3 linked regions of the Mus musculus genome follow. The protein of the gene in region 1 interacts with the protein of each later gene in a pairwise test. Links are inferred from orthologs where the notes say so. Each region holds a gene or a part of one and is shown on either strand. Other genes may lie near its edges. The genes, in order: Egfr, Ptpn18 and Ptpn22.

Evidence for each region.
Region 2: the proteins of Egfr (region 1) and Ptpn18 interact in a protein complementation assay, tested with the Homo sapiens proteins (3 studies listed by BioGRID and IntAct, with this or other methods). The link is inferred for Mus musculus from reciprocal best matches to the Homo sapiens genes EGFR and PTPN18.
Region 3: the proteins of Egfr (region 1) and Ptpn22 interact in binary tests that used the Homo sapiens proteins (3 or more experiments, as listed by UniProt). The link is inferred for Mus musculus from reciprocal best matches to the Homo sapiens genes EGFR and PTPN22.

The regions. Positions count from the first base shown.
Region 1 is NC_000077.6:16,866,777-16,877,187, forward strand, and holds part of Egfr (epidermal growth factor receptor isoform 1 precursor), read left to right. Parts: intron 1-454; coding exon 455-523; intron 524-1,331; coding exon 1,332-1,450; intron 1,451-2,442; coding exon 2,443-2,584; intron 2,585-4,199; coding exon 4,200-4,316; intron 4,317-4,806; coding exon 4,807-4,933; intron 4,934-5,025; coding exon 5,026-5,099; intron 5,100-6,069; coding exon 6,070-6,160; intron 6,161-8,183; coding exon 8,184-8,383; intron 8,384-10,411. UniProt on the Homo sapiens protein: Receptor tyrosine kinase binding ligands of the EGF family and activating several signaling cascades to convert extracellular cues into appropriate cellular responses.
Region 2 is NC_000067.6:34,455,703-34,466,213, forward strand, and holds the start of Ptpn18 (tyrosine-protein phosphatase non-receptor type 18), read left to right. Parts: upstream 1-4,043; 5' UTR 4,044-4,121; coding exon 4,122-4,214; exon of another isoform or gene 4,215-5,333; intron 5,334-6,999; coding exon 7,000-7,108; intron 7,109-7,404; coding exon 7,405-7,481; intron 7,482-7,566; coding exon 7,567-7,662; intron 7,663-7,763; coding exon 7,764-7,802; intron 7,803-10,511. UniProt on the Homo sapiens protein: Differentially dephosphorylate autophosphorylated tyrosine kinases which are known to be overexpressed in tumor tissues.
Region 3 is NC_000069.6:103,855,317-103,865,827, forward strand, and holds the start of Ptpn22 (tyrosine-protein phosphatase non-receptor type 22), read left to right. Parts: upstream 1-4,960; 5' UTR 4,961-5,087; coding exon 5,088-5,174; intron 5,175-10,511. UniProt on the Homo sapiens protein: Acts as a negative regulator of T-cell receptor (TCR) signaling by direct dephosphorylation of the Src family kinases LCK and FYN, ITAMs of the TCRz/CD3 complex, as well as ZAP70, VAV, VCP and other key signaling molecules.

The sequences.
Region 1 (10,411 bases):
GGAGGAAAGGAGTGTTCATTTACCAGACTCAACATAACATCCTAAATATCTAGTGATGATTGCCCCACACAGTCAGTCAAGACTGAATGTAGCAAGGTGCATAAGTGTACATTGAGCGGATCTGGTTAGAGAGAAGCCTAATCAGGTGGCACCTCCGAAACCCTAAATTCATTAGCTTTGTCATTTGTGTGGCTGTGACAAGTCAGTAAGTAACCTCTGTCTCAGCTTCCACAGCTGAAGTACAAGCAAAAGCAGCCCAAGGCTCACCATTTTTTCTTTTGTGCAGGAGTCCTTTAATTTAGCTTACAAAGCATCCAACCCAACTATGAATACAAAGTTTCCAAGCTGTTCCTCATTTCTAGGACATTCTTTAGGACCTTGAGAGAGTTGTCAGTTGCGTGTTATTTGTTACTTTTATTGAAATGCACATTTAACTACTTGATTTTTATTTCAGGCCCCAAATGTGATCCAAGCTGTCCCAATGGAAGCTGCTGGGGAGGAGGAGAGGAGAACTGCCAGAAATGTAAGTCAGTGCAGCATCAGGGCCTGAGAAACATGCCCTGGTGAGGGAGTCCACACAGTATGTGGTCCTCCACTCCTCCGCTTTGTGACTGAACAAGTACAGGAGCTTGGCAAAAGACTCAGAGTTAACCACTTCATGAGCATCAGTCTTGGAAACATCACAGTGCACAACTATCTAAGGCTTACTACGTGGGATAATTTAACCTGTCATTAAATGCAAGAAAGCCAACCACCCAAGTGTCCATGGTGACACACAGGATGCCTTGTCCCCTGATCCAATCCTCCCCGTTTTCCAGAGCCAACTAATATAGAAGTTTGACGGTGTTGCTCCACAGAGTTCATGTGTGAATCCTACTAACTTAAAAAACAAAGTTTAATTTACTTCAGCATGGTTACTGCTTCACTCAAAGAACCTGGGCGTGTGTCAGCTTCAAAATTGACTGTAGTTCATTGCCTTTGTGACCTAACTATCTCGTTCCTTTAAACACTGCCTCCTGCCAGGAGCTCTTCTTGCTATGTGCCTTCTGTATTGCCAGAAATTCCCTAGATAATATCTACTTATTCAAAAGATCTGATCAGACTTGTTTCGATTATTTCTCCCAAGTGATTTGAGATAAATGATAAAAATGTACCAAGGGGAAAGTTGTGATTATATTGTTTGGCTGACTGTGAAAGCCTAGAAGCTGCTCCCTGTCACAAAACCCATGGTTCCTCCTTTATTTCTTTCTACTGGGTGCAAGCATTCCTTGGTGTCTCTAGAAGATGAGCTGCCACTTAAACACAGCTCACTGGTAATCTTTCTTTTTCAGTGACCAAAATCATCTGTGCCCAGCAATGTTCCCATCGCTGTCGTGGCAGGTCCCCCAGTGACTGCTGCCACAACCAATGTGCTGCGGGGTGTACAGGGCCCCGAGAGAGTGACTGTCTGGTAAGACTCTGGCTACTGGGGAGTTGTGCTGCAGAGCTGTGCACGTGCTCGACATCTGACTGTGACAGCAGCCTTCATGTGGTGCACATTTTAATTAAGTGTTGTCATGGACAACAGTAGCAACATTATGAGAAATGAAGGGAGCTCTTCTTCTGTAAGACCCCCTGAGAACCATCCCAGTTACCCAGACCTTTGGGCAGTATGGCATGTGCACACCATATTTTCATGCCTCTTGGGCTGCTCCCCTCCTAATCCTACCCCATCCCACAGTGTCTCCCCTCAGACCCTCTACCTCTGGTGAAAGCTCTAGTGTTAACTTTGCAGCTGTCAGGGGTTAGTGAATGTGATTCCTGGGGTCCTTGCCAACCCAAGCAAACTCCATTAGGCTCCAGAAAAGGAAGTCCACCTAAAGGTAGAGTCTAGAGTATTCTATCATTCTGGAACAGAAGATTCTTAAATTCTATAAACTAAACCTAGCTCCAGGCATCTTTTTTTTTTTTCACCTGGGTAGTCTGGTCTGATTCAAATGGGCAGCCCGGGGATAAAACTACAAATGGAGTTCTTAGAAAGATCCAACAGCTCTCTACATGGAATCTTCTTGCTAAGATTTCTGCAGTTTGTCCATAAATTATAAAATATATTCTTATAGTGTTCTTTATGAAAGAAACCCAGTAAAAACTGAGTTTAAAAATAGTTACAGCATACTTTCCAATATCATGTGTAGATTTCATTATTACCTTTTTTTTAACCACAAACCCTAGGCTGTATCAATTGAGACAGTCAGTATACTTAAAAATGTATACTTAGTACTCATAAGAGGAAGGTGTTTCTGACTATCCTGGAAAGGCTTACTAGACATTTTTCCTCTCTAATTGAGCATGTAAAACACCGAAAACTGTCACTGTCCCACTGACCTGCAGGCTGCCTGGCACTGGGTTCCTTTCATTTGGATGCCACATCCTTGACCAGACATGTTGTCCCTCCTATGACAGGTCTGCCAAAAGTTCCAAGATGAGGCCACATGCAAAGACACCTGCCCACCACTCATGCTGTACAACCCCACCACCTATCAGATGGATGTCAACCCTGAAGGGAAGTACAGCTTTGGTGCCACCTGTGTGAAGAAGTGCCCCCGTGAGTTTGCCCTTTCACCCAACAGTCCTCATTTCCTCTTCTGTCTTATGCTAGAGTCCTGGGCAGTTTGGAGGCAGCCACTGTGCTTGCCTTGTTGTCCTGTAGGCTAGTGTCTGCCTGGACAGGTGCAAGGATGAGAACCCCACTCAGTGCTGAGCAATGGAGGCAGAGGCAGCCTGCAGCAGTCAGGATGCCTTCCTTTAAAGGGTGGCTTGACCTGCACTGATCCAGTGTTGCTGGCAGCCAGACTGTATAGTACAAACCACCTATCGCTTCACCCCAAGTCAGAGAGGAAGCTTCAGTAACCTGGAGTGTCTTGGAGCTGACTAACACAAGGTCGTGACCCTCTGGGACAACCTTTGTTTGACTCTGCATTGTTTGACTCTGCATTAAACAGACCTAAATTAGAAAAGGCAGCAGACCCACCCCCTTGAGGAGAAGAATTTAGGGCTATGGCTGGGCTCTTGGAGTATTTTGGTTTTGGGTTTGCTTTGATTTACTCATTTGGGTTCAAGTTTTATTCATGTATGATGGTACTCTATGGTACCTATAGGAAAATGGCAACATAGATCGGTCCCAAACAGAGAAAGTGAAACAACTCATAAAGAGCCTTAAAACCAATCTTGACTTCTAGAAAGTAAATTAAGACAAAAAAAAATGTAAAGTGGAAACTATAAGGGTGAGATTTTGCCTACCTAGATTTAGGTGATTGAAGTCCCATTAGAAAACACACACAGAGAGGGGAGGGGAGGAAGAGGGAGAGGGAGAGAGAGGGGGAGGGAGAGGGGGAGGGAGAGGGGGAGGAAGAGGGAGAGCTAGAGAATAAGGTAAATGGAAAACTAAGATGAAGAAAAACTCATGACAGTCATGCCATAGATAGAATCTTTGTGTGAAGGCTTAGTAACAGATCTTTAAACTCTGCAGGAAACAAAACCTATGATGACAAGAGCATATGACTCACAGATATAGTACCAATGCCCACATTTTGAGCATGTATTTCAGAAACTCAAAATAGGAGCATAGAGTTTCTAGTAATACTGTAATCATAAATATTAATTAGGTTAGACTACATAAAGGTGAAGGGAGTGGAGAGAAAGATTGGGGCGCCTGTCTAGGAAGCAGAACAAACTGGTCCCCTCGTTGTCCCACCAAGAACTGCATGGTGGATGGGTGGGGAAGGGCAAAGCTGGTATCAAACAGAAGAAACTGTAGTTACCTCAATGGGACATGGTCTGTCTGATAAGCATTAGTGTGTGTGTACTACATATCTTAGGTTTCCTTGTATATTCTAAGCATAGACCTGTCAGAGGAAATTCATATTCAGCAAGGGGCTTTCAGCCAGTGAACACGCATGGTGGTGTTTCCTCTCATAGCTGTTTTGCACCTGAGATCAAGTATCTGTGTTTGTCCACATTACTGTCAGAAAAGCCATTAGACTAGAGCTTGGTTCCTCTTCTACTTGAAATCTGTCAGTCTTTCTCCTCAAAGAGAAGTCAACCAAACTAAGAGGGACCTTTTTAGCAGCCCATACACAGCAGGACATGAGGATGTTTGTGGAAGGTTAGGAGCACCTGCTGTAGCCTTCAACACCTTCTTTTCATTGCCTCTTCCTCAGGAAACTACGTGGTGACAGATCATGGCTCATGTGTCCGAGCCTGTGGGCCTGACTACTACGAAGTGGAAGAAGATGGCATCCGCAAGTGTAAAAAATGTGATGGGCCCTGTCGCAAAGGTAAGCAGTAGGGTTTTTTTCTTGATCTTTGTGCCGAACTCTTATGGCCACCTCCAAATAAACCCACCTTTTAATCTTTTTTTAAAAAAATATATTTATTTTGTCTGGAAAGTAGAAGGTAAACTTGCAAAGCCAAATTGCATGGTGGAGGTGGGGGAGTTCTCTTGAACCAGGTACAGAGGCGCCACCTGCAGCCCAGGTGGGTGAACTGTTGTAGCCAGAGAGAGGCGGAGCCAATGTCTTTGTGAGTGACTAGATTCAGTACAGCCAGAACATTCAAATCTGACAGAGGTCTGTGACAAGGACAGCCCAAGTGCCACTCCAGTGACTGAAGGGAACAGCGAAGCCTGTCACAGGAGTCCTGGCACCTGGAGGGTCCCCTCAGGGTTGTTGGGATGAATCAATAGTGCACGGTAGCAGGGTTCTTGCTTCCGCTTGTGCAGACCCAGCCTTCTTAATTCACATTCTTAATTCACATCTCTCTTAACAGTTTGTAATGGCATAGGCATTGGTGAATTTAAAGACACACTCTCCATAAATGCTACAAACATCAAACACTTCAAATACTGCACTGCCATCAGCGGGGACCTTCACATCCTGCCAGTGGCCTTTAAGGGGTGAGTAACAGCTGAGCCATCTGGATGAAGAACTGTAGAATCTGCTTTAAGCCACGGAGAGTGTCCAATAATCACGTTGCTGTCTGTTTCAGGGATTCTTTCACGCGCACTCCTCCTCTAGACCCACGAGAACTAGAAATTCTAAAAACCGTAAAGGAAATAACAGGTTTGTACTCGGGTGTGCAGGAGCATATATGGGAAATTAAATTTTATAGCGACTCCCAGACATTTCCCTTTCTTCCCTGACATGAGAATGTGGTGTCTGCAGCTTATCCATTATGAGTAATTCTTCGAGACATTTTTAAAAACCAGTTTCCCTTGATGCAAATTGAAAGCACTTTAAGCCACGGCTGCTGCAATCATGCTGGACTTGATGTGGACACATGGAGCGGTTCTTTCCTGCTTAGACTGTCCATCGTCCTTACAGACCCCAAAACCCCCAGAGAGAAGATGGAGGAAAAGATACAAGGTTGACGCTAACAGGCAGTGCAGGCTCTCGAGTTTCACAAACTAGATTTCAAAAGATTGTCCACCAGGGAGTCTTGGGTCTATGACTGCCACCAGCATGCCATTTTCGTCATCTATGAAGGGGAGATAATTTGATCTGAAAAACAGGATTAATATGAGGATCAGAGTTAAATGGAAAAAAATATTTAAAAGGAGACCATGGTAACAAGAGACTGGAGAAGAGTCAGAAAAGGATCCAGGTGTATAATCTGATATTCCTTATGGATGTCAGAGCCAGAGCACTTGTCACCTGCTCAGGTGGGAGTTGGCCTACGCATTGAGGGAAGGGCAGCCAGGGACTCTAGGTTGCATAGAAAGGACAGGATTCTTTCATATATATATATATATATATATATATATATATATATATATATATATATATGAAATATATATATATATATATGAAATATATATATGTGTGTGTGTGTGTGTGTGTGTGTATGTATGTATGTATGATATATATATCACCTGGACCTGTGTGAGGACATGCACTATCATCCTTGGTGATAGGAACAGGAAGAATCCACTGCCACGGTCCATACAGCAGCCTTATCTGAGTCCTAGAACACGCTTCCTACAACAAGGAAATTTCTAACAGTGTGAGTCTAAGCCTTTCTTCTTCCCTCTAGGCTTTTTGCTGATTCAGGCTTGGCCTGATAACTGGACTGACCTCCATGCTTTCGAGAACCTAGAAATAATACGTGGCAGAACAAAGCAACAGTAAGTTGGCCATAACAAAAGCCTAGTAGAATTTTTTCCCCAAGATTGTCAAAAGAAACAGAAATAGGACAAAGACCGATCTTCTACTCGGCTTCCCCTAATGTGAGCAACTTATGTGAGTAGATATGAAAGTTAAGATAAATAATTTGACAAGGTGCCATGTTCTTCCCTGGACCATGTACTTCATTCTGAGTTTACCAGATTTTCCACGAATGCATCCATTCTTTTCTGTCCTCTCCAGGATCCCACACTGCATTAATGTCTGATGTCTTCCTAGTTCCCTTCAAACTTTCCCAGCTCCTATATCTTTGCTGATTTTTGTTGTCTTGACACTCTGGGAAAATATGACTGGGTGTTTTATAGGGCATCTCCTTGTTTGTGTTTGGTTAATATTTGATAATGAGGCAGTTGAAGACACATAACTTGTCACACCAGGGAGACAGAGAAGATGGGAGACAGGTGAAGAGCTTTCCTAGAGTAAGAGAAATCCTAAGATTTGTGGTGAGGAAAAGAAATCTGGAAATCTGTAGCTCAAATCTGTCTTGGAAACTTTCTAATTATGATAGCTTTTTCTGACATTTACCACCACTAACATCACTAATCCCACTAATATTGTGGAATATTTAACAAGTCAAAGCACATACACACAGAATATACATTGCTGCCCATAAACTCCTTTAAATAGGCACTTCTGATACTAAGCATGCCACTGCTTTTGCTTCCTGCCTTTCCTCTTAAATTCTCAGGAATGCTCTCGTTCTGAGGTTAGCACCGTGTTTCAAGCGACTGCACAAGAGACTTAGCCTTAATTTTAAGCATTTAAGCTATGGGATAACCACTAGTTCCTGACATGACTCACAGAAAGCTGGGACTTGACCTGCAGGAAAGACCCCAGCCAGACCCTGACTCCTTGGCTTTTCTGGACATACGCTGGGGGAGAATTCCCAGTAAGTGATGGTTGTGGATCTCCTACCCAGACCCCTCACTTCCCTGAAAACAGGCTGTGGGGAAAGATAATTCATGAAGGGGGAAATGAGAATAAGCATGACTAGGAAGAGGGTCTGCCAAATACTACTTTAAACTTTGATATTTAACCCCATAGCTTCCATTCTCTTCTTTTGTCCTGGCTCAGCTGGCTCATTCCTGAGGCTAGTGTCAAGAAGATGCCTACAAATGCACACCGCTTCTATGTGCATTTCCATCAGTCACATGTGACAAATTGTGCCTAGCAGGGGCATACATTTGAGCTCTGACCTCAACCATGATCCTGAGTCTGTCTCCCTGCCCTCGCCAAGTGCACACATCCTGCAGAGTCCTGTGATTTGGGACTCCATTCTCTCTTATCTGACTAAGTTTCATCCAGACACATATCTGCAGAATCTTATTTAATCAAATATGAGGTATCATGACTTGAACATCACCCTTCCATGCTCTTCCTCCATGGCTCTCCTTCAGTGTTCACCCATGGCTGACCCAGTCCTCACTAACGCTGCATTTATTTCTATGGACTCAAAAAAAACCTCTGCCGGTGTGATTATATCACCTTTAGACAGAGTCCCTAAGTAAAAGAGACAAATATTTAACCTGTGTGGTATTTGCAAATGGAACCACAGATATTCACTCAATAAACATGACTGGGCAGCTGAGTGGTAGGCAGATGGACAGATATTCATATTTACCTTAAGTACATTTTGATGTTGCCAGATGCTAGAAAGCATGTTCTTGATTTCTAGGAAAACTATAAATATAGCAAATGAAATGACATGAATCCTCTGATTAACTCCTCCTGTTTATCCAAGTTTAAAGATAAAAAGCAAATGAGAAACTGTCTTTTCTTTGAAGAAATCTATAAAAAAACCCTTGCATTTTTTAAAACGTTGTGATTCATACTTTTCGCAGAATGATTAGTAATAACTGGAACACAGGATTCAGGAAACATAAGTGGCCCAGAAAAACTGAATTTGAGGATGGCCCATTGCTTTCGCTATCACACAACAGTGCAATTTTCTTCTCTCCCATTTAGTGGTCAGTTTTCTTTGGCGGTCGTTGGCCTGAACATCACATCACTGGGGCTGCGTTCCCTCAAGGAGATCAGTGATGGGGATGTGATCATTTCTGGAAACCGAAATTTGTGCTACGCAAACACAATAAACTGGAAAAAACTCTTCGGGACACCCAATCAGAAAACCAAAATCATGAACAACAGAGCTGAGAAAGACTGCAGTAAGTAGCTGGTCCCCTCTCACCTGCACAGATAGTTCCCGGAGGTAACTTAGTTTTGGAAGACATACTGAAGAGGTTTTCACCAAACATTCTAATTGCTTTTGCTCATTCCTTCATTGAATTAAAATCTGCATATTCCTAATTGTAACGCTAGCATCAGAATTGTTTCCAGAATGTTCTCATCTCATAGGGTGAATTTGCCTTGTGGGGTTTCAACGTGAAATGTCCTTCATAGGCTCATGGGTCTGGACACTGAGTCCCTAGCTAACTGTGCTGTTTGGAATGGTTGTAAGACCCTTGGAAGGTGGATCTTTCCTGGAGGAAGGCAGGCTCGAGGACTCCACTTAGTGTGTATTCTCTGCTTCCTATAATTGCAATGAGATCATCTGTTTCTTCGTACTTCTGTTGGCATGCTTTTCCTGTCATGATTGATTGAACCCCTTCCTTAACTGTAAATCAAAATGAACCCGTCCCTCCTTAAGTTGCTCATGTCCAGTATTTGGTTGCAATAACGAGAAAAGCAGTAAAGAAAATGGATGCCAAACAGAGGAGCCTTGGCTTTGACGAATTTGAGGATGTGGCTCTTAGCCCTTTGGGGCTAGCTTGTGGGAGGAATGTAGAGAAGTTCGGAACTTTGTCTGAGAAAGCCCCAGAATTTTCTAAGCCATCCTGGTGGGAGTTTGGAAGATCATAATGCTGAGAGAAATATGAACAGTAAAAACCAGATCCGTTAGGTCTCAGAGGAGAATCAGGACACTGTTCGAAAGTGAGCTAAAGGCCATTTGTGGTACATGATGATAATGAATCTGGCTGTATCTGCCCATGTCCTGAGAACATAAGTCACTAGAAAGCAATGACCCAATTTGATTGGTGGAGGATATCTCAAAACAGAAAGAATAGCATTCAGTCTCCTGCTCGTGGTTCTTATCCAGGACTACAGAGTCCTGGAGAGGAAAGTGGACAGAGAGATAGGAAAATATGCAGTTTGATGGGCAAAGGAGAAAATTTAAAGGTGCATGTAAGCCAGGTGCTGAGGAAGCAATTGTAACTGTAAAGATATTAGCACTATTAAAGAGAAACCTTGTATAATCACACTGAGACAATAGGAAAAAGGTGCTCTGAAGGCAAGACCCCATCTCCCAAAAGGTACATCTTATGCAAATGTACATTCATTTGAAAGAAGAGAGCCAAAACTGAGAATTCTGCTGAAGATATTTCCTGCTTCTAGAGGCCAGGCTACATCTTTAGCTGGCCACTCCAATGGGCAGCCTCATCCATGGGGTGCTGGTTTTATACACGTGAAAGATACAGGATTGAAGGGGGCATGGAAGCCTGTGCCAAGATTACAGAAGGCCAGGCAAGCCAGGTGGTGTTTGGCAGGCTTGGAGTTGTGAATGGAGGCTACGTGAGACTGTAAAGATGAAGCTTGAGTGGCAATGGGCACTCTAGGATTTTAGAGATGTCAGCACGGTGGAATGCCTGCTAAGGAAGACCGCAGGCGTGGCACAGAGCAGGCTAAAGGAGTAGCTTTTCCACACTGCAAGGGGCAGACCTGGCAGCACAGAATTATGAAGACATGGGTAATTCTTGGGTAGTTCTGCTGAGTTTGTTTTACTTTAGTCTTCGTCTTTCTTTGCTGTGCCCTGATTCTACTTGTTGACATGGGAACATCTACTATGTGCCATTGCATGTTGGAAGTTTGTGATTACTTTTTGATTGCACAGAAGCCAATAGTTAAAAGATGTCTTTGAGTCTTGAGAGAAAAATAAGACTTGAGGCTTTTGAACAATATTGATAGTGTTAACAATTTATCAAGGGCAAGTGAGATGGCTGAGCTGAGAGAACATTGTTACCAAGCCTGGCATCCTGAGTTCTATTCCCAGGACTCACATGGAGGAAGGAGAGAACTGACTCCAACAAATAGGATTCTGAGACACACACACACACACACACACACACACACACACACACACACACACAGGAGTGGGGGGGGGCATGGGAATGCATACCCTCTACAAAAAATAAATA
Region 2 (10,511 bases), on another chromosome or scaffold:
GGAACTGAAGCAGAGCCCTCTGAGGGATGCTGCAGTACTGGCTTGCTTCCTCCCACTTGGGCACAGCCAGCTTTCTTCAAATGATATTTTTTTCAGACAGCTTGCTTGTACCGGTCAGGACCACTTACCTGGGGTAGCACCACCCACAAGCGCCAACATCAGTTAGCAATTTAAAATATACATCTATACATACATTCATGCCCACAGGCCAGTCTGATGGAACAGAGGCAATTCTTCATGTAAGGTTCCCTCTTCTTCAGGTGTGTCAAGATGATAACCAATATTAGCCATCACAGATAGACAGGCGGGAATCCTGAAAAAACAGACTCCCATATGGACTGCCAGACAGTTGGATATATTTGGGGTCAGATAAGAAGATAGACATTTAGACAGATCAGTGGTCCCAGAGAAATACAGCCACCCCCTTCCTTGCTGACTAAGGTTAATCCCAGCCGACAGAAGACAGACCATGTCCACTAAGTAAATTACCCCAGTGGAGACCCATCCCATCCACCCACTTAGCGTTCATATGGGCAGATTTACTTATTAGCCAAACTTGAGCCTATGAGAAAGATCCCCTTAGTAAGATTCCATCTTTTGGAGAAACAGACACAACTGGGTCTCCAGCTAGGTTTTCATCCCTGGCTTAGACAGATCTCCAGCTACCAAAGTAGAGATTTCTCAGGCACTGCTCAGCTCTCCTGTCCCCTGCATATTACCATAGCTGACCCCTTGACCTCTCAGAGCTGCCGCTGCTCCTGGGTACTGGAATGGTCTCCAGTGACCACTGCCCACCAGTGGCATCTGCTGCTGCTCCATAGGGGCCTGCCACGATCTCTTGGTGACACCCTTCCATCTGCTCCGGAGGCTCCTGGCTTAAGATGACTGCCATTGGTCATCTCAGAGATTCAGCTTCTTCAGACTCCACCATTGTCACACAGATCACAGACCTTCTGTGTACCACCTCCCTGGGTCGCCATCAACCCCTCCCAGCCCATCCACCAGGCATTCACAATCCCTCTGGCATTTATTCATGGCCATCTTTTGCTTCTTTGGGAACCAATACTCTAAGTCCCCACAGCCACTCAGGACTTTATTGCCCTTCACCCTGCTCCTGAGGATGCTGACTCCCCAAATGCTGTTAGTAACATTCACTGACCTCCAATGAACTCAGCAATTACTGTCCACCCTCAGTCATTCCTGCTCACCCCCTTAGAACACACAGGTGTGAACAGTGACTCCCCAAGAACTTATAATAAGTAGGTTAGAGTTCCCCCACTTTTGAAAGCTCAAAACAATTTATTTCTTCATATATACACATATATATACATATACATAATGTATTTTGACTATATTCCTCTCATTCTCTAGCCTCATTCCTCTTCCTGCAGATCGCCCTCTTCACAAGCTCCTCTCCTACTTTCATGTCTTTGGTGTGTGTTTGCCCCATTGCATTTAACTGAGCTTGCCTGAGTAGGTTGAGCAGGCAGGGGGGGGGGTCATTTATCGGAATGAGGGAAACCTACCAGTGGGTGTAGCACTAAGGAGTATGCCTCCCTTTCATAGCTATTAACTGTCTATAGCTTCTCAGGGAAGCATGAGGCCCCCTGTGCCCAACTTAATGATGATGGAACTTGGGTGGGCCCAGTGTTAGGAGCTCACACCTGCAACTGCTAGGTCACATCCAGGAGACAATGTTTCATGGCACTCCCAACCCTCTGCAGCGTTCCCTGACTTCGGAGAGTGGATACAGACGTCCCTTTTAGGGCTGAACACTTCACTCACCCTCAGTACTTGAACCAGTTCGATATTACTCTCACCTCCCAATATTTAAGCGAGGTCCAGCAAACTAGCGTCTGCAAACCACATTTAAAAAAAATTGCGACAAAAATCCAATGATTGGTGTCAATGTGGTTTCTAAAACTTTTAAAAATTCTATTTGGCTGGTTGGTGGTGGCACATGCCTTTAATCCCAGCACTCTCAAGGTAGAGAGACAGGTGGATCTCTGTGACTTAAAAGCCAGTCTGATCTACAGAACTAGTTCTAGGTCAGCCAAGGCTACACAAAGAAACCCTGTCTCAGAGAAAGAAAGAATTTATTTTTATGTATCTGCCAGTATATCTGCGCAATGTGCAAGCCTGGTGCTGTGGAGGCCAAAAGAGGGCATTGGGTCCCCTGGAACTCAAGTTTCTGGTGTTTGCAAGCCATTGTGTGGGTGCTGGGACTCAAACCTCAGTCCTCTGGAAGAGCAGTCAGTGCTTTTAACTGCTGAGCCATCACTCCAGCCCTCCTAGCATTTTTTAAAAAAATTACATTTACTTGAGTGCTTCTGCACAAGGCATAAGGAGGTCAGAGGACACTGTATGGAAGTGATTTTTTTTCCTTCTACCATGTGTGTCAGGGGATGCAGCACTTATTAATAGGTGTGGCTGCAAGACCTTTACCTGTTGAGCCATCTTACTGCCATCTTCCCCATTTCAGTGAAAAAGTTTTCATACTATCACCCTCATACTATCTGGCTGTTTTGCATTGCCACCACTGGCAGACCCACAGTGACGTAAGACAGAGATCTAGCGATAAAACCCAATAAAGTCTTGTCTGGCTTTTAAAGATGCTATCCATTCCTTCATTTAAACACTGTGATGACCAAGTTGACAGCCTTTTACCAATGATCCCACTCATCTTCCAGTGACTTAAAGCACTTCTTTTTTTGGTTTTTCGAGACAGGATTTCTCTGTATAGCCCTGGGTGTCCTGGAACTCACTCTGTGGACCAGGCTGCCCTCGAACTCAGAAATCCACCTGCTTCTGCCTCCCAAGTGCTGGGGTTAAAGGCGTGTGCCACCACCGCTCCGCTCAGCATGCTTAAAGCACTTTCAATTCGCCTTAGCCCTACTTTTGCACACGACCCCAAACGGATCTCCTCAGAGCCCTCCCTCAACAGAGAGTTGGCAATGCTTGAAATTCTTTGGTTCCCTTGCAGGTGGTGCTACTCCATCTGCTGAAGCCTGTTTTGGAAAGAACCCCCTTTTATTTTCTTTTGTGTGTAGGGAGATACACCCTCACTATAGAGCCTGTGTAGTTGTCCAAGGACAACACTCTGGAGTCGATTTTCTCCTTCCACCATGTGGGTCCTAGGTATCAAATCCAGGTTGTCATGTTTATTTAGTGGCAAGGCATTTACCTACTGAACCATTCCACCATCATTAAAACATTTTCCTTTCTCTCTCTCTCTCTCTCTCTCTCTCTCTCCCTTCCTTCCTTCCTTCCTTTCTTCCATTTTTTTTTTTAACTTTGAGACAGGATTTCATCACAAGCTAACTTTGAATTCACAATGTAAGCTAGGGTGACCTTGACTTTCTGATTTTCTTGCCTCCACCTTGTGAATGCTGGGACAGGCACTCTACCAATTCAGCTACAAACCTTAGCACGGCTCTTCTCCAGTCTTTAGTCTCCAGGACCCCAGGAGCTTCAGCATAAGATCTTCTTCAAACTCCTGAAGGGGGACGGAGTGAGTGTTGAGACCACTTTTCCTCCCAATGCCTCTCTAGTCTCTTCCTCCCTGAGGGGTATGGGTTAAGATCCACAAGTTAGGACTGAATCCTGGTGTCCCCGCTTTTCCAGCAGGTTCCAAAAGTGAAATCACACCCCCTACCCTCAGAAATAGGCCTTTTCCCAGAGCAAAGTGCAGGGAATATATTTATTCGAAGTCCCCGACCTCTCTCATATTCCGCTGTCGCACGACTGTGAACCTCAGCGCTCGCAGGACTCCGGAGCAACCTTGGGAACCCGGCCTGCGAGATTGAGAGCGCAGCCATCCCCCTGGAAAGGCCAATGGGACTGAGCGTTCCGTGCGGACTCCACCAGCTTCACGGCAGCCGAAGCACCCGAGGCGCCAGTGGGGAATTGCGGGACCCGCAGCTACTTGGACGGCCAGTTCGGCTGCGGTGGCAGCCAGCACCTATGGGCGGGACGAACGGAGTGAACTCCTAGTGCCATTGGCCGAGGAGCCTGCCAATTACCGGTCTTCATTGGCTGCTGGAATGGAGGCCCCACCTCGCAGTGGCTAAATTCTCGGAGTCGGATCACTCCTTGTGGGAGACCTCAGAGCGGGTCGCAGCATGAGTCGCCATACGGACTTGGTGAGGAGCTTCTTGGAGCAGCTGGAGGCCCGGGACTACCGGGAGGGGGCAATCCTCGCTCGTGAGTTCAGCGTGAGTGACACTCCAGCCATCAAGCTTCGCAGCCAGGCGCTCCCCACGGCTGTCCACCTGTGCAATATGAAAGCTCTGCCTTTTCCTCTCAGCTCCCGGGGCGTCTCCTCCCTCCTGCTCTCGGCTTTCCTCTTCCCGCACTTCTCTCACCCTGACTCTCCCAGCCTTCCGCACTTTGCCCACAGGTGCCCAGAGGGTGAAGACGGCTACTGTTTAGGAGGAGCCAGACACACTCAGGTGTCGGTGTCGAGCTCCCGGTGCAATCTTCTCCCTAGCGGGGCCGTGGCTTCCGCCGTGGAGGGAGGCAACACACCTGCGCTGGACTCGAGTCCCCAACCCGGGCCACTCCTGGGTCACCTTGTAATCCCAGGGAGGAAGTGGTTTGGGGCAGCAGAAAGAGGAACGAGGAAACTTGTAGCCTAGCCTAGGTTTCGCGTTACCAGTCTATCCTAGGGCTTTTCAGAACTGTGGCCCTGGGAGCTCTGACTTCATTTTCACCTGTTTTGAATTGTGAATGATAAAAGACAAGCCGGTTTGAAAATTAGGTGGTTTGGGTAGATGCACCTAGCACGCGTTGGGTATTCACTGGCTATATTAACTGTATGCACCTGCCTTTAACATGGTTTACAAAGGTTGTAAACGTTACCTCGGGCCAATCAAGCTTGTGAGAGCTACTGCCACTCAACAGCCATGGCACACAACATGTAATGACGTATTTTAAATAGAGTGACATGATCCAAATACGTAATACACTATCTCAAACTTAGAAATGTAAATGACAATGATATAAAAATAAGTGTGACATTAAATGATCACTTACAGCCTGGCATGGTGGCACATGCCTGTAATTCTAGCAGTTGGTAGCCTAAAACCGGGGGATAACCATGAGTTCAAGGCCAGCCTGAATTACATAATTTTGTGACCACTCTGGAATACTCTGGAGATTGTTTCAAAGAATGAAAAAGATAGTTTACACAGGCCAATATGTAAACCAGTAACAGTGAAACTCTGGTGGTGGTGCATGCCTTTAATCCTAGCACTTGGAGGCAGGGAAAGGAAGGTTACTGTAAGTCTGAGGTCAGTCTGGTCTACACAGTGAACTCCAGGACAGCCAGGGATATGTAGGAAGACCTTGTCTCTAAAACAATAAAAAAACCAACCAAACAAAAAAAATAACCCCAACTAACTAAATAAGCAAAACAAACAAACAAAAACCCAACAAAGCAACCAAACACCACAACAGATACAACAAACATTAATAAGAACCAAATTTATAGCAGGGTGATGATGGCACACACCTTTGATTTCAGCACTTGGGAAGCAGAGCCAGGTGAATCTCTTGAGTTCAAGGCCAGCCTGGTCTACAGAGTGAGTTCCAGGACAGCCAGGGCTACACGGAGAAATCCTGTCTCGCAAACCTAAAACCAAACCAAACCAAAAAACCCAAAAAGCAAGCAAACGAACAAACAAACAAACAAAAAACCCAAACCAAATGTATTAAGTTAGTAAGTAAATATACACACAAGCATATGGACAGGTTAAATGTGAGTCTAGATAATTTTCATATGTAAATGCTGTAACAGAAGAACTACTAGCATAAAGTATACATTTTATAAGCAAGAAGATATGCATAAACAGGAAGAAGGTGTCTCTGGGGGCTGGAAAAACCTGACCAACATAAGTAAACCACTTTGGAATGGTGGCCCAAACACAATGCCAGTCATTGCAAATATGAGCACCCGATAAGAGCGGTACTCTTCACCAGTTATAATAATGCAACAGCTATAAAGCACCTATAGCATCTTCCTACATGTTATACCTCATATCTATAGCATATTGTCATGCTGTACCTTGTTTAAAGTATTTTTAATTTTTATTTGGCGCATGTAGCTATATATGTATGTATGCATGTGTGTATATAGATACTCTTGGAGACTAGAAAAGGCTATTGAATCCCTGAAGCTGGAGGTACCAGCACTTGTGATCTGGCCAGTGCTAGTGCCAGGAACCAAACTTGGTTCTCTATAAGAGCAGAAAGCACTCCTAACCACTTAGCCATCTTTTCTAAGCCCTATTATTTTTTTGAGACAGGGTCTTGAGACAGGTTCAGGCCGGTCTTGAATTGAATATGTAGCCAAGGATGACTTTGAACTTGTTTAAATTATATGTGTGCACACATGTTCTGGGGGAACTGGACAACCATGAGAGCTACTTTTACCCTTCTATCTTACCTTGGGGTGAAAGTCAGGTTATCTGGCTTGGTGGCAAACACCTCTACCCACTGATGCATCTCCCTGGCCCCAGTTTAATTTGTTTTGGGGGTGGGGGTCTTGTTCATGCCACAGCACCTATGTACAGTCAGAGGACAATTTTCTGGTGTCAGGTCTCCTTATGGTGTGGGGATATAGGGATTGAGTAGAAAATCTTCAGGCCTGTGCAGAAAGTGCTTATTATATGCACCGAACTATCTTTTGGGTCTAAATGATGCATATTTTATTATGATTTATAGTACATTATAACATGATTGAATGTGCAGATCTGAGAGGTCTGGATTCAATCTTTATTGGGGTACCTCCTTGAGGGACCTTTGGCAAGTTACTCAACCACTCACTACCTACATCAACGTTCATCTGCACAATGGGGAGAGTGGATAGCCCCCCACTTGGGATGTCTAAATCCCCTAGCACTGGGCCTGACTTTCACCTGCTGTCCTAGATATTATTACACAGATGCTAGTACGGCTGGGTCTCACTCTGTTCTTTCTGCTCATGGTGCTTTCCACTAGGACATTAAGGCCCGCTCAGTGGCCTGGAAGTCTGAAGGTGTGTGTTCCACTAAAGCCGGCAGTCGGCTTGGGAACACGAACAAGAACCGCTACAAAGATGTGGTAGCATGTAAGTCAGTGGGTATCTTGAGGGAATCAGTGCCACTTGCACAAATGCTGGGTGGCAGTGCCCATTTGGCCGCACCCACCCACAGCCAGCCCCTCCCACTCTTCCTCCCTCCCCTCAAACCCCGCCCCCCGCCACTCCCCAAAGCATGCTATTGCTTGTGCTTGAGGTAGCTGCATTACTCCCTGAAGCCACAAGGGGGCAGAGCTCCACTAGTGTGCTGTCACCCCGCTTGCTTTTGCCTGGGAGGGCGTCAGTGACTTGACACCCACCCCTCCACATGTCCCACCCTCTCCCAGATGATGAGACAAGAGTCATCCTTTCCCTGCTCCAAGAGGAGGGACATGGAGATTACATCAATGCCAACTTCATCCGGGTCAGGCTAGTGATCAGGGGAGGGGTGGCTTTGGGGTGGGTTGGGACAGGCTTCAGCATCTCGTTAATGAATGGGCCTTTCCTAGGGCATAGATGGAAGCCAGGCCTACATTGCGACGCAAGGACCCCTGCCTCACACACTGTTGGACTTCTGGCGCCTGGTTTGGGAGTTTGGGGTCAAGGTCAGCTTTGCGGGACAGAGAGAGAGGGGCATGGTTCTGAGTCCCTGTCCTTCCGATTTCTCCTTACTCAGTGGCCTCCGTCTTCCTTACCTTTTGTCTAGGTAATCCTGATGGCCTGTCAAGAGACAGAAAATGGACGGGTATGTATCCTCAGCCTCCTAGAATGCAAAGAAGGCTTGTGCAGGGAGGAGAGGAGGCGCGGAGTCTCCTTCTTGTCCCTAGAACCAGAGTCCAGTCCCTGCCTGACTCCACTGCAGCTCTGCAAAAGCCACTGGTCCTAATTTTGCCTTGATCTTTTTCCTTTTGATCATGGGGTTGTCCCCACAGTACTGGCAGCCCGATCAGCCCACATCATGTACTGAAGAGTCTCCACCCTGGTCTCTTTATACCCTTGCCTGCTTCTTATACTCCCCTCTACAGGCTCTGTTTGGGGATGTCCTCTGCCATGGGTTTTACCATTGCCCATTCTGTTACCTGGACCTTCACGTGGTGTCACACCCCCACATGCCCACCTCTAACTCTTTCCTGTGTCTTACCATTTTCCTTCATAGTTCTTGTCTACCTCAACACATGGGATAATTCTAAAAGGGGAAATGCACATCACAGTAGTATGACGACCCTCCACAAGCTATTATTTTTACCTTTGACTATCTTCTTACCGGGATACAATTCTCCCGTTTAGCCAGGCATGCCAGCTCCCAGTGTGTACTTCAGGTTCTTAGGAGGCCAAAGTAAGAGCATCAAAACTTTGAGGCTGCCGGGCGGTGGTGGTGCACGCCTTTAATCCCAGCACTCGGGAGGCAGAGGCAGGCAGATTTCTGAGTTCGAGGCCAGCCTAGTCTACAAAGTGAGTTCCAGGACAGCCAGGGCTATACAAAGAAACCCTGTCTCGAAAAACCAAAAAAAAAAAAAAAAAAAAAAAAAAAAGCCAAAAAAAAAAAAAACCAAAACCAAAACCAAAACCAAAAAAACCCCTGAGGCCAGCCTGGGCAACTCAGGGAGACCATCCACACATTCACCACCCTGTTAGCAGTCCCAGCCCATGTTTAAAGTCACAGGCAACCCCTAGTCCCCTAGTCTCCTTTTGATGCCAGCAGATTTGCCTACTCGGCATGTTTAACATGAAATGGAATTGTGTGGCACGTGCCTTCCACGACTGGCGTCTTCCTCTTTGTGTTCTCGGTTCTTGCATCCAGAAGCATGGCCCTAGTGTACTTCTTTTGATTGCTGAATAGCACCTTGAACGCACCTACATCTCACTCCTCCTCTAAGCAGTTTGTAGATGCTGGATTGCTTCTCTGAATCACACCGCTGTGAACTTTCGTATGCAAGCCTTTGTGTGGACATGAACTTAGAGTTTGCACTAGGTGGAACTGCTGGCTCATAGAGGAACTCTAATTTTAACTCTAGTTTAAGGAAGTGACAGGCCATTTTCCAGAGTAGCTGTGTCAGGTTACTTTTCCATCCACAGTACACAACTCCAGTTTCCTTACATCCTCGCCAACAGTTCTGATTCCTTCTCATTTTGAAAACCTTTTACTTACTGTGTATAGGGGCATGCGCATGTGTGCACATGTGTGCCGTGGAATGGGGCAGAGGTCAGAGACAAATTTGGGAAGTGGATGTCTCTTTCATCCATGTGGGTCCCTGGGATTGACTTGGCAACAAGTGTCTTTACCCATGAGCCATTCTGCCTGTTACCCCTGTTCCCTGCCCCCCCTACCCCCATTATAGCCATTGTTGGAAATATAAGGGAGTCTCTAACTGGGTCTTGTAAACCTTGTGGTAAAATATATGTAAACATAAAAATCGCCATGTAAGGGACTGAAAGATGTCTGGAGGTTAAGAGCACTTGTTACTCTGTAGAGGACCTGAACTCCTAGGTAGTACCTACATCAAGTAGCTTATAATTACCTATAACTCCAGCCCCAAAGGGATCTGATGCCCTCTTCTGGCCTCCTTGGGCACCCAACACACACACACACACACACACACACACACACACACACACACACACAGCATAAACTCCTCCTCCTCCCCTGGTCCTGGCCACCTGTCTTCTGTCCCTATTGTTGCCTGTCCTAGCCGCACCGTGTAAATGGGATTATAAAATATGTGTCCTTCTGTTTCTGGTTCCTTTCCCTTGATGGTTTTAAGGTCTGTCCATGATGTCATGTGCACCAGAATGTCATTCATTGTAAGACTGAATATGCCATGGCTTTGTGTCGTGTTTCCTGTACCCATTCATCTGCTGATAGACAGTTGGGCTGCTCTCCCTTTTAGACCACGGTTGGCACACACTGATAAAACAGTTTATGTTTGCTTCTGGCTTTCGTTTTCATTTGTGTGAGTCAATGCATGTCCATGTGTGGTTATGGATATGTGTCTCTGTCTCGTGCATCTCACTATATCACCTTGGCTGGCCTGGAACTCACAGAGATCCACCTGTTTCTGCCCCCCCCCCCCTGCTTCTGCTATATTGCTAGGTTTAAAGACTTGTGACACTCTGCTGGCTCTTTTGTTCCTTTAGGGGTCCTCCCTGAACTCAGTCCTTGAATTTTCTCAGCTTGGCTAGAAGCTGGCAAGCCCCAGAGATCTTCCTGTCTCTGCCCACCGCTGAGCTGGGGCTACAAGCATACAAAGGTGCCTAGCTTGTTATATGGGTGCTAGGATCTGTGCTCCAGTGTTCATGGTTGTGTGGCACTCTTAATTGCTGAGCTCTCTCTCTAGAACTGTCTATTTTTTTTTTCAATTATTTGAATATAAATCTGCAGCAGAATTGTTTAATTTTTTTTTTTCCACAGTGGCTAGAACTTTTCGGCTTCTATTGGCTAGGGGTTTTGGTCTCT
Region 3 (10,511 bases), on another chromosome or scaffold:
GAGTTGGAAAGCAGTACGATACATAAGACCTGAAACTCTGAGATGATCAGAAAATAAGAAAAACACCTCAAGATACAGGCACAGGAGACTGGTGGGACAGCGTGGTGGTAAAGGTTCTTTCTCACACAAACCTGGTGACCTGAGTGTGACCCCAAGAGAAGCCCAAGTCCATAAAAGATGTTCTCTGACCTCCACATCCCTAATGTGGCATTCATACCCATGCGCGCACACACACACACCACGACACATACAATAATAATAAATACGAAGTTTTAGAAAGATATATGCATAGGTAAAGTATTTCTGAATAGGACTCTAGTTTTCCAGGAAATAAAACCAACAATCAATAAACAAGACGTCATGTGATTAAAAACTTCTGTACAACAAAGGAAACAGTTAACTGAGTGAAGTGGTAGCCTATAGAATGAGAGAACTCTTTATCAGGCAGAAGATATAAAATCCACAAGACACAAAGAACTTAAAACACCAAACAACAATGAAACAATAACCCAGTCAAAAAATGGACTAAGGAAACTTGTGTTCTCAAAAGACATCCGAGTGGACAGTAAATATTTTAAAACATGTTCAGCATCTTTAGGCATCAAGAAAATGTAAAGTAAAACTACTTTGCAGTTCTGTCTCACCCCAGTTCGAATGTCTGTGGTCCAGAGAACAAGCGTTGGCAGGGATGTGGGGAAGAGAGAGGTGCCCACTGTGGGTTGGCCTGTGAATTGGTGTAGTCATTGTGGAAATCAGTGTAGAGGTTTTTCAAAATATTAAAAAACAGAACTGGTTTGTGACCCAGCTCTACTGCTCCTGGTCATGTGTCTAGAAGACTGCATATCCTGCCTGCTAAGCTGCCACACAAACATTTGCACGTCCATGTTTAATGCTACTGTATCCACAATAGCAAGGAAATGAGACCACCCTAGATGCTATCAGCTGATGAATGGGTAATGAAAATGTAGCACATCTACACCTGGAGTTTCATTCGGCTGCAAAGGAAAATGAAATGGTGTAATTTGCAGGAAAATGGAACTGGGAAGTATTGTATTAAGTGAGGCAATTCAGACTCAGAAAGACAAATATCACATATTCTCTCTCATATGTGGATGGCAGCTTTTAATTATTACTTAAGTGGGAGTGAGTGTTTAAGAGTCCAGGAGACTAGACAGTGACCATGTGAAGGTGAAAAGACAATCTGAGATGTACTAAGGAGCAGAATGCATGAAGTGGGTGTGGGACCACTTAAGCAGGGGTTGGGAAGGGTAGGGAGGTGGGGGAAGGGAGGGGAGAAGAGAACCAACAGAAAGTCTCAGAATATTTGCTAAGGAGGTGACTCAGCAGCAGGAGACTCAATTCCCTCCACCCATCTGGGATTCTTGTTTGTTTGTTTGTTTTCAGGACAGGGTTTCATTGTGTCCCTTGCTGTCCTAGAACTCACTATGTAGACCAGGCTGGCCTTGAACTCACAGAGATCTGCCTGCCTCTACCTCATGCTGGGATTAAAGGCATGTATCACCACTGCCCAGCCCATCTGTAATTCCTGTTCCAGGAGATTCAATGTCATTTCAATGCCATCTCTGGCTTCCCTGGGTACCAGGTATGCATATGGTATACATATAGACATACACATGTAGGCAAAACATCCATTTATATAAAATTAAATAAAATGCCTTAACACCAACAAGATTAATAACCATAGGTTATTAGATGAAAATCCCAATGTCAGAGATAGGAATTGCCTACCTCTGTTGTTAGATAGAAAGCACACACACACACACACTACAAGCAATTGTCAATGTTTCTGGGTTTCCATCAGAACTAAGATCTTGCTGCCAAAGGTGACATATGCTTCGGTTGCAAGACATACTGAAATCAAGCTGGTGCTAAGAAGCTTCCTTTCTGGTGGCTAACTGGTGCTCTGCAGGCTGCTGGGGAGGCTGGTCACCAACATTGTTATTTAGCTGTGGACATCTATACAATAACGCCTACTGGCAATATGAGCCCTGGGGCAATGGCAGCAGGTCTCTTCAGCAGATAACCAGCAGCTTTCTGAGTGGATTTGATGCCCTTGCCATCTACATGGTACTATAAATCTGGTTAAATGCTCTGGCTGGGGGAAAAGAAAAACAAAACAAAACAACAGCAGCAACAACAACCAAAACCTCTGGCTGGGAGGTCATAGGCCCTTATAGGGCATCCACTGCTGTCGTTTTGCAAAGCGGACGTGATGCGCCTGTCTAACTGCCTTCTAGATAACTTTCTGTCTATAGAGTAGTGGTGCTTTCAGTTTTGGTCAGAGAACGTACTGTCTGCAGTGATAGGCAGTGACTGCAGAGACAACTCTGGTCAGAGTTCTGAGAATAAACCACTGGTGAGTGCTCAGGAATAAATGGGACACCTACATCACCCCTCCCCACCCCAAAACCCAGGGAGCACTCCCAGAGAAGGGACAGAGAGAGATTATTTATTAACTTTTTCTTTTAACTTTTCTTTTGTTTTGAGACAGAATTTTACTGTGTAGATCAGGCTGGTCTTAAAACTCACAGAAATCTGCCTGCCTCTGTCTCCTGAGTGCCAGGATTTAAAGGCCTATCTTTCCAGTGTAAAGGCAGGCGAAGGCGGTTGAAGAGGTGGGGAATGCTAATCTCTAAGTGGGACTTGGGTGTTACACTCTTGAGCTCATGGAAGCTGTGCCACTCGTAGAGGATCCACACAAACTTGAGTTTGTGTCAACTCAACACTCTGTCGCGGAGGGTAAGGGATTCATGGAGTCCCACCCCAGCCTGAAGATCTCTATGCCGGTAATGGTTGGCAGGGAAGGGAGAGAAGTCATCTTCAGTGTGAGACTCTGGTAAGCTATGCATGCTCCCCTAAACTACCCTAATGAAGCTCACTGGGATTGAAAACTAAAAAAGACATGAAAGTGGGAGGCAGGAGATGGTTGGCAAGAGGAGAGGGGTTAGGTGTGAAGAGAAGAGAGGGTAAGACTGAATGCGTAGTGTAATCGGAATGCATTAACTACAATATGAAAATGTCATGTAATCCATTATGTGTGACTAATGTATGATAATAATGTTCCTCTTTCTATTTTTATGGCCTACACACACACACACACACACACACACACACACACACACACACACACACACTTAAATCTAGATTCTCTGTTTAAGGGGAAAAAACATGTAATACTTGCCTTTCTGAGTCTGGCTTAAATTTCATATTTTCATATAATTTTATTTATAGTTAACTTAGGATTTTTAAAGTATTTAACTTTTGAGACAGTGTCTTGCTATATATAGTTCAGATAGGCCTGCACTTTGTAACCATTCTCCTATCTGAGCCTCCTCAGTGCTAGTGTTACAAGTATATTCCATTATACCCTGAAGAATGTTGTATTCTTTTTAAAAATAAAGCTTCCCCATATTTTGTATGTTTTAAAATAGTCAAATATTGCATCATTTAGAGTAGCAAGAAATTTCCTGTTGTTGCTAGACAAGGATAATCTCAGAGATTTGTTTTAGTCTCAGGAAATATTGCTGAAGAATTATGGTTCATTTTAATTTGTGTGAACTACATTTGAAATTCTTTATGTGAAATACTAACTTCAAATTGCCTGCCAAGGGTTCAATGAAGAGGGTGCAGCGTGTTTTGTGTTCAAAATCATGATTTTCTGAAGGGAGTTTGAATAGTGTAAAACCAGAAAGGGTTGCTAATATCTTAATAGAGGAAGTCCAAACTACACCTTTCCCAGTTTTTTTTTTTAACTTGAAACTAATTTTGTAACATTCTGTTTACTGAACTTCCTCATTTGCAAGGGTTTTCACACTGAATTAGATCTTGAGTGGATTTGTGCCCATCGAAGAGAGGATTTATGCAAACGGAGATGTGGAAGCATTCTCTGGAATAACCTGCCTTGTTAAGGCACTGATACCACAGATGTGGACGGCTCCCTGAAACGCGATCTTTTCTGAGATAGGCTCTGTAGGATCAAAATGTCAACATGTCTTCATGAATTCTTCAGCCTCTTTCATTCTTCCTCCCTCCCCTTCTGAGAGAGAGAGAGAGAGAGAGAGAGAGAGCGCTCACTTTGTTTCTCAGGTGTCTCAAACTCTGAGACTCAAGTGATCTTGCAGCTGGGGACAGTCCTGAGGAGCTGGGACTGCACCACCTCTCCTCAATTCTCTCCAGACAGGCTGACCTAGATAGAATCTGTATGGTTCTCAGCAAGCAATATTTTAGCTTTAGTTCCGTTTTGTCCTTTCGCTGTTTGCTAGCAGTGCGTTCTGGGGATATTGTGCTAACTGCCTCCCCGGTGCTTCCCATCCTGTGTAGAGCTGTACTCTCAGTGTTTGCAAAGCTACTGGAGGTCTGAAGAAGTACAGAGACCAACACTTCCCTTAATGAGGGCCAGTACTTCCCCAGTCACGGGTGAGATGGACCATCAGAAGCAGTGGACTTTGCTTCCTCTAAAAGAAAAACGTGAGGTTTATAATGGAAGCTTGACAAATTCTGAAACAAAATGCCCGCTTGATGAGCAGAGGTCTGCCATGATCATATCTATAGGAGACTTTGGGGATAATGGTCCGGGTCGGAGATAGGTAACTCCAGTGTTTGTCTCCTCTCCTGCAGCAGGGCATAGGTGGGCGTCACCCAGGCCTTTCTGCTCACTGGGATGTGAAAAGCTGAACTCACAGGTTAGTGCTGTACTTTCTGCCTTTCTTCTGGGAATGGAAGAACTGAGTGCTGTCTGAGACTGACAGCGTGGAACAGTCTCTGAGCTAAGCAGACCACAGTTTGTGTTCTGGTTAGCCTCTTGTTTGTTACATTTGAACAGTAGCCAAGTTTCTTTGTTGAGAAAGGAAGGCGCTAGGGCCCTGCAGGGAGATGATGGCTTTGTTGTGTGACCACAGAAGCTAGTTTTGTACTAATTTCCTCTAGGGCTTGTGATGAAGTCAGTAAACCACAGCCTCCAGCACGCTGTGCTCCTGCAGCAGCAGTGGCTTCTTGGTGCTGCCTTGGCCATGACACATATTTGACATGCCCTCCCTTAACCTACTCACAGACTCTTGCTCTGCGGCATGGACCAAAGAGAAATTCTGCAGCAACTACTGAAAGAAGCCCAGAAAAAGAAACTCAACAGTGAGGAGTTTGCCAGTGAATTTCTGGTGAGTTCTGGAATGCTCTGAAGAGTTCTTAGATAAACTGTGTAGCAGTCTGTGGTGGCCCAGTTTGCCTAGACGCAATTGCTGTAGGGATAACACGACCATGGAGTTTGGAGTGGAAGGGAGGAAGGCGACCTAAGAACATAACCTCTCTGGGCTTTGTTGTGTCTGTGCTCAGGGTTTTCTCCAGGTAGGCTGGTTTTAATGTTGGGTTTGCTTGTTCTTTTGAGCTTAATGGTCCTACAGAAGGTATAGACAGGTGTATGGATATTAATGCTTTCTGAACATCTGCAGAAAGCATTTGCATTGTGACATATGCTTCAGATTACTAATAAGAGTAGCTTTTCATGTTACGTGTTATTTTTAGCTTCCCTATAGGCTATCATTGGGATAACAGGGGTTTGAAAAACACCAAAAACTCTCATTTTGCCACTTTTTCTCCTATCCCTTTGAAAACAAGTTGATTATTAGAATAGGCATTTTCCTTTTTAACAATAGCTGGGCTTCTTTAACTTATATTGTCTGGAGAAGTGGGCTAGGGAGAGTGGGGAGTAGAGACACGTGAGAGACATGGAGAGCAAGGTAGCCTGGGAGCAGGTGGACTTGATTATCCAGAACTCAAATCCACTTAGAGGGAGCCATAGTTAACAGTGTAACAAAAGCTGGGCGGCCCATTTTCCATCCCTGTCAGGCACATCAGATAACATGGTATTTGACACACCTGTCATGCTTTTGGTTTTTGCTTAGTGTTTGTTTGTTTGTTTGTTTGTTTGTATCAGTATGTAGCTCTGTCTGGCCTAGAGCTCACTATGTAGATCAGGTTTGGCCTTGAACTTAAAAGATCCTCCTGCCTCTGCCTCACTGGGATCAAAGGCATGTACGACCACACCAACCTGCTGTGTTCTAAAAGCTTCTAATTGGTATTTCAGAACTGTAAGAATGTTAAGCCTTAGCCCTTCAGCTTTGAATTGAGAAAAATAAAGAACATCGACATGGTCATCATTCAAATTATCAAATATTTAACGTGTTCCCAAATCACCCTAACTCTTTGTTTTCTAGGTTAAAAAAATGAGGATAATAATTTATGTCCTATCTATCTCATTTTGGATTATTGTGATGATTATATCATTAATTATAATAATTAAATGAGAACAAGGTGTTTTGGAGGCACCCAGAGACCCAGTTACTTGGAAGGCTGAGGTGGGTTAAATCTTGAGTTCAAGGCTCGCCCAGGCGACTGAGAGGGACCGTGTCTCAGAAAAGGGATCATTTAGGAGCACTTACTATGTACCAACTTTGTTTCTTCACACTAAGATACAATAGTAAACAAAATGTCTTTGCCTTCCAGAACTAGCGTTCTGGCACCAGATATTAGAAGAGAAAACTATCCATGATGTTTTCACTGAACAGATATCACTATTAGATAGCACAGCAGGCTAGTATATAGTGGCCCAACTTTGAGGCTAAGATATTATGCCAGCTTATGGTGTCACTTAAATATTTTCTTTCTGCCACAAGTTCTCAGGGTAGTTTAGGCACAGGGTAGAGTTGCCTATGTGTCTACTTAGATCCAAGCATGCCTTTTGACTGTATCACTGAGACATTCTTAAGGCAATTTATTAAGATATAGAGGGGACGTGAGCTGAGAGGTAGTGACATCTTTGTCTTACTTGGGTTGTATTTTTCAAAACAGAGCAGACTATATCTCTAATATTTTAACCACTCGTAGAGGTCGTTATAGTCTCTTACCAAACTGGCTGCCACCTCCTGACTGCTTTCTCTGTTTCTAGCCTTGTCCCACCTTAATTTTCTTAGACAAGGACTCACTATGTAGCCATAGCTGGGCTGGAACTCACTGTATAGACGAGACTAGCCTTGAACTCAGAGATCCACCTTCTGTTTCCTGAGTGCTGAGATGAAAGGTGTACAATGGTGTACACCACCATGCCAGGCTCCAAAGTGCTCTTTTAATTACATAAATCTGGTCATATTTTTCTCAGCTTAAGAACTTTTTTATAGCTTGTATTTTGTTAGCTGCTTATAATTGTGAACTAAAATATATATTTAGAAAAACTACACAAAACATGTGAATATAGTTATAAAGGAACCAGTGCTAATGCGGTTACTGCACAGATCAAAAAATATAGCACTGTCTAACTTGGAGAGATTCCCTACTGTCCCTTCCACAACTGGCCTCTCCACCCACCCACCCCACCCCACCCCACCCCATTCCTCCACCCCATCCCACCCGGGTAAATCACTGTCCTGGGTTTATATTAATCATCTCCTTGCCCTTCTGGCTCCTTATACTTAAGAACCTTCTTTTGGGTGGTGATTAAGTGGAACCTCACTGTTCACTGACTCACGTCCTCCAGTGGAAAAACAAGAGTTTCACCCTCAGCCCCACCTAAAGGTTCAACTGAGACACCAGAAAAATAGCTTTGGGAGAGGAGCTGTTGGCCCAGGGAAATACTGCCATCCAACTGGAAGGTTTCCACTTGACTTCTGCCCACAGTCCACCTGAAGTTCTTGATGTTTGTGAGATTTCAGAATGAACTTTATGACGTAAAGGCACTGCTAGCAGCCTTAGTGGCTAGTATGATACAGCATTTATACTTAAATGTAGATTTTCTGTGCAACAACTCCCCCCACAAAACAAACAAACAAACAAACCAAGAAACAAAACCAAAAGGTTCCTTAACTCAGATTTCAGTCCTGACTTCTTTGTCGTTGTTAAGTTTTTATTGTTGTTTCGTTATGCAGCTCTCACTGCACTGGGATTCACTATGTAGACCAGGGTGGCCTCAGACTCTCAGAAGTCTGTCTGCCTCCTATGTAACAGAAGTAAAGGCGTGTACCATCAAGCACACCCTGCTCCTTTAAAGAAAGATTTGTATTTGGTGTGTGTATATGTGTTGTTTTGCCGGCATTTATATATTATGCATTTAGTGCCTGCCCAGTGCCTGTGGAAGCCAGAAGATGGAGTTGGATCCCTGGGAACTGGTGTTACAGGGGGTTGTGAGCCACTGGGTGGATGCTGAGAACTGACTCTGGGACCTCAGCAAACACAGCAAGTGGGACCTCAGCAAACACAGCAAGAGAGCCATCTACTGAGCCATCTTTCCAGACCCTTCCTTCTTTTTATATTTTTAAAAACGTGTATGTCAGAAAAAAACCTGAGATCCAGCTACAAGCAACAAAATTGATTAGCTTTGCAAATAAGACACAAGACACTTGACACAATTTCGTCTGCATATAGTTCAAAAAACAGATTTTAAAACTCCTGTTTAGTATAATAAATAAAGCAATGCAGAAAAAAAAAAAAACCCAAACTGTTCTGATAGTGTTGGCTTCTATCTTTTTGTAGAGGTAGGAGGTCAGGGTATTATTATTAGGAAGAACACCCAGGGGCTCTCTGTGCAGTGGGGGCGCACCTGTGCACGTGTGCGTGTGTGTGTGTGAGAGAGAGAGAGAGACAGAGAGACAGAGACAGAGAGACAGAGAGAGGCAGAGAGAGAATCCAGGCATCTCATGTACAGTGTACACCAGGCTGAGAATAAGCTTGTAGCTGGATCTCAGGTTTTTTCTAGTCGTTGTTGTGAATTCTGTCAAAGTTCCATAGATGTGATTCTTGTAGTGATCATAGAAAGAGTATTGAAAGATGTCGAGTAGTCACCGGCTGTTCTAATTAGGCTGCCCTGCCTCTATAATAAAACACTGACCAAACCAACCTGGGGAGGAAAGGGGTTACCTAGATTAAACTTCCATGTTGCAATCATCATTCAGGGAAGGCAGGTCAGGAATTCAAGGCAAGAACTGAGACAGGCCAGGGAGGACACTGCTTGCTCGCTCGCTCTTGTGGTGTGCTCAGGATCACCGGCCCAGGAGTAGCGTTGCCCATAATGCACTTGGGACCTTTTGAATCAATCATTAATCAAAAAAAAAAAAAAATGCCTTTCGGATTTGCCTACAGGCCGATCTGATGAGGTGTTTTCTCAGTTAAGATCTCCTCTTCCCAGATAACTTTACTTGTATTAAGTTGACAAAAACTAACCAACACAGCTGGCAACACCCATTTTGAATCACCACAGTGGTTTTTAGCCTTGCTGGCCTCAAAATGTAGTTTCTTTATGGCTTTTAGCCTAGCTTGCCCTCCCTCCCTTCTCCTTTCCCTTCCCTTCCCCTCTCTTCCCTTTCTTTTTTTCCTTCCTTCCTTCATAATTTCTTTTTTTTTCTTTTCTTTTTTTCTTTTTTTTAATTTTGAGACAGACTATCACTAAGTTGCCCAGGGAGACCTTGCCATCCTCCTGTCTCAGGTCCCCAGGTAGCTAGACCTCAGGCTTGGGCGTCCTGGTTTGGCTGTGAATCTATCTTTATTACACAGATTGTCTAATCCAGAGCCTTGCCTTTGCTAGACAGAGGTTCTACTACTCAGGTACTCAGCTACACCCACAGCCTAGTCATTCTTTGTACATTCCAAGCTTTTGTCAAATGTATTAACTTTTATTTTAAAGTCTATACTTTTTTTGTAGTTAAAAAATAACTCCTAAAACTGTTTATTCAGACATATTTATTAAATATAAAGGACCCATTGAGCTCGAATGGTAGAAGCCCATCTCTAATGGCTGCATTCAAGTGCTAATGTAACTAGAACGTGCTGACATTATCATAGCTTCTGCAGATTTCATCTATCATAGACACCAGGACACGTCTTGGTTCTATGTGTATTTACAGCAATGATTCTAAACAAATGGTTATAAGCACAGCATCCCCTGCATAGCAAGAATTCAAACATTTGTTGAACTGAAACAGCTCATGAGAACGAGCCTGTCACTTGGGCATACCAATAAGCCTTTACTGAAGTAAGTGTTGTATTTATTAAGGTGTTTTATTACTACCACCACCAGAAAGAGCACACTGACCTCTGCAGCTGATTCCTCCTCAGTCCACCCTCGCTCAGCCTTTAACTCGGGACCATCTATTCCCGTATCCTCAGTTACTCTCAGGGTAGTTTTGACATACTCTTGCCATTTCCTCGTCTTTTCATACCTGATTTAAATGTCTTGGTTTAATTACTGCAGTTTGGCTGTTGCCTACCCAGCTATTCCCTTAACCAGTACTATGGAACACCCTTGCCTGTCTTGTTAAAGATGTCTCTGTGTCTACTCAGGGCCAGCCTCTTTGTCCATTCCTACTGTTCATAGTCCTGTCCACTAGCTGTAGAGGTCTAAACTCCTGACTCAATTCCTTTGTACTCATGCTTTCTCAGTCTTGTTGGAAGCTTGGTAAACCATCTGCATTCACAAGGCAACAAGAAGCAACTTTGCAGAGCTCCAGAGG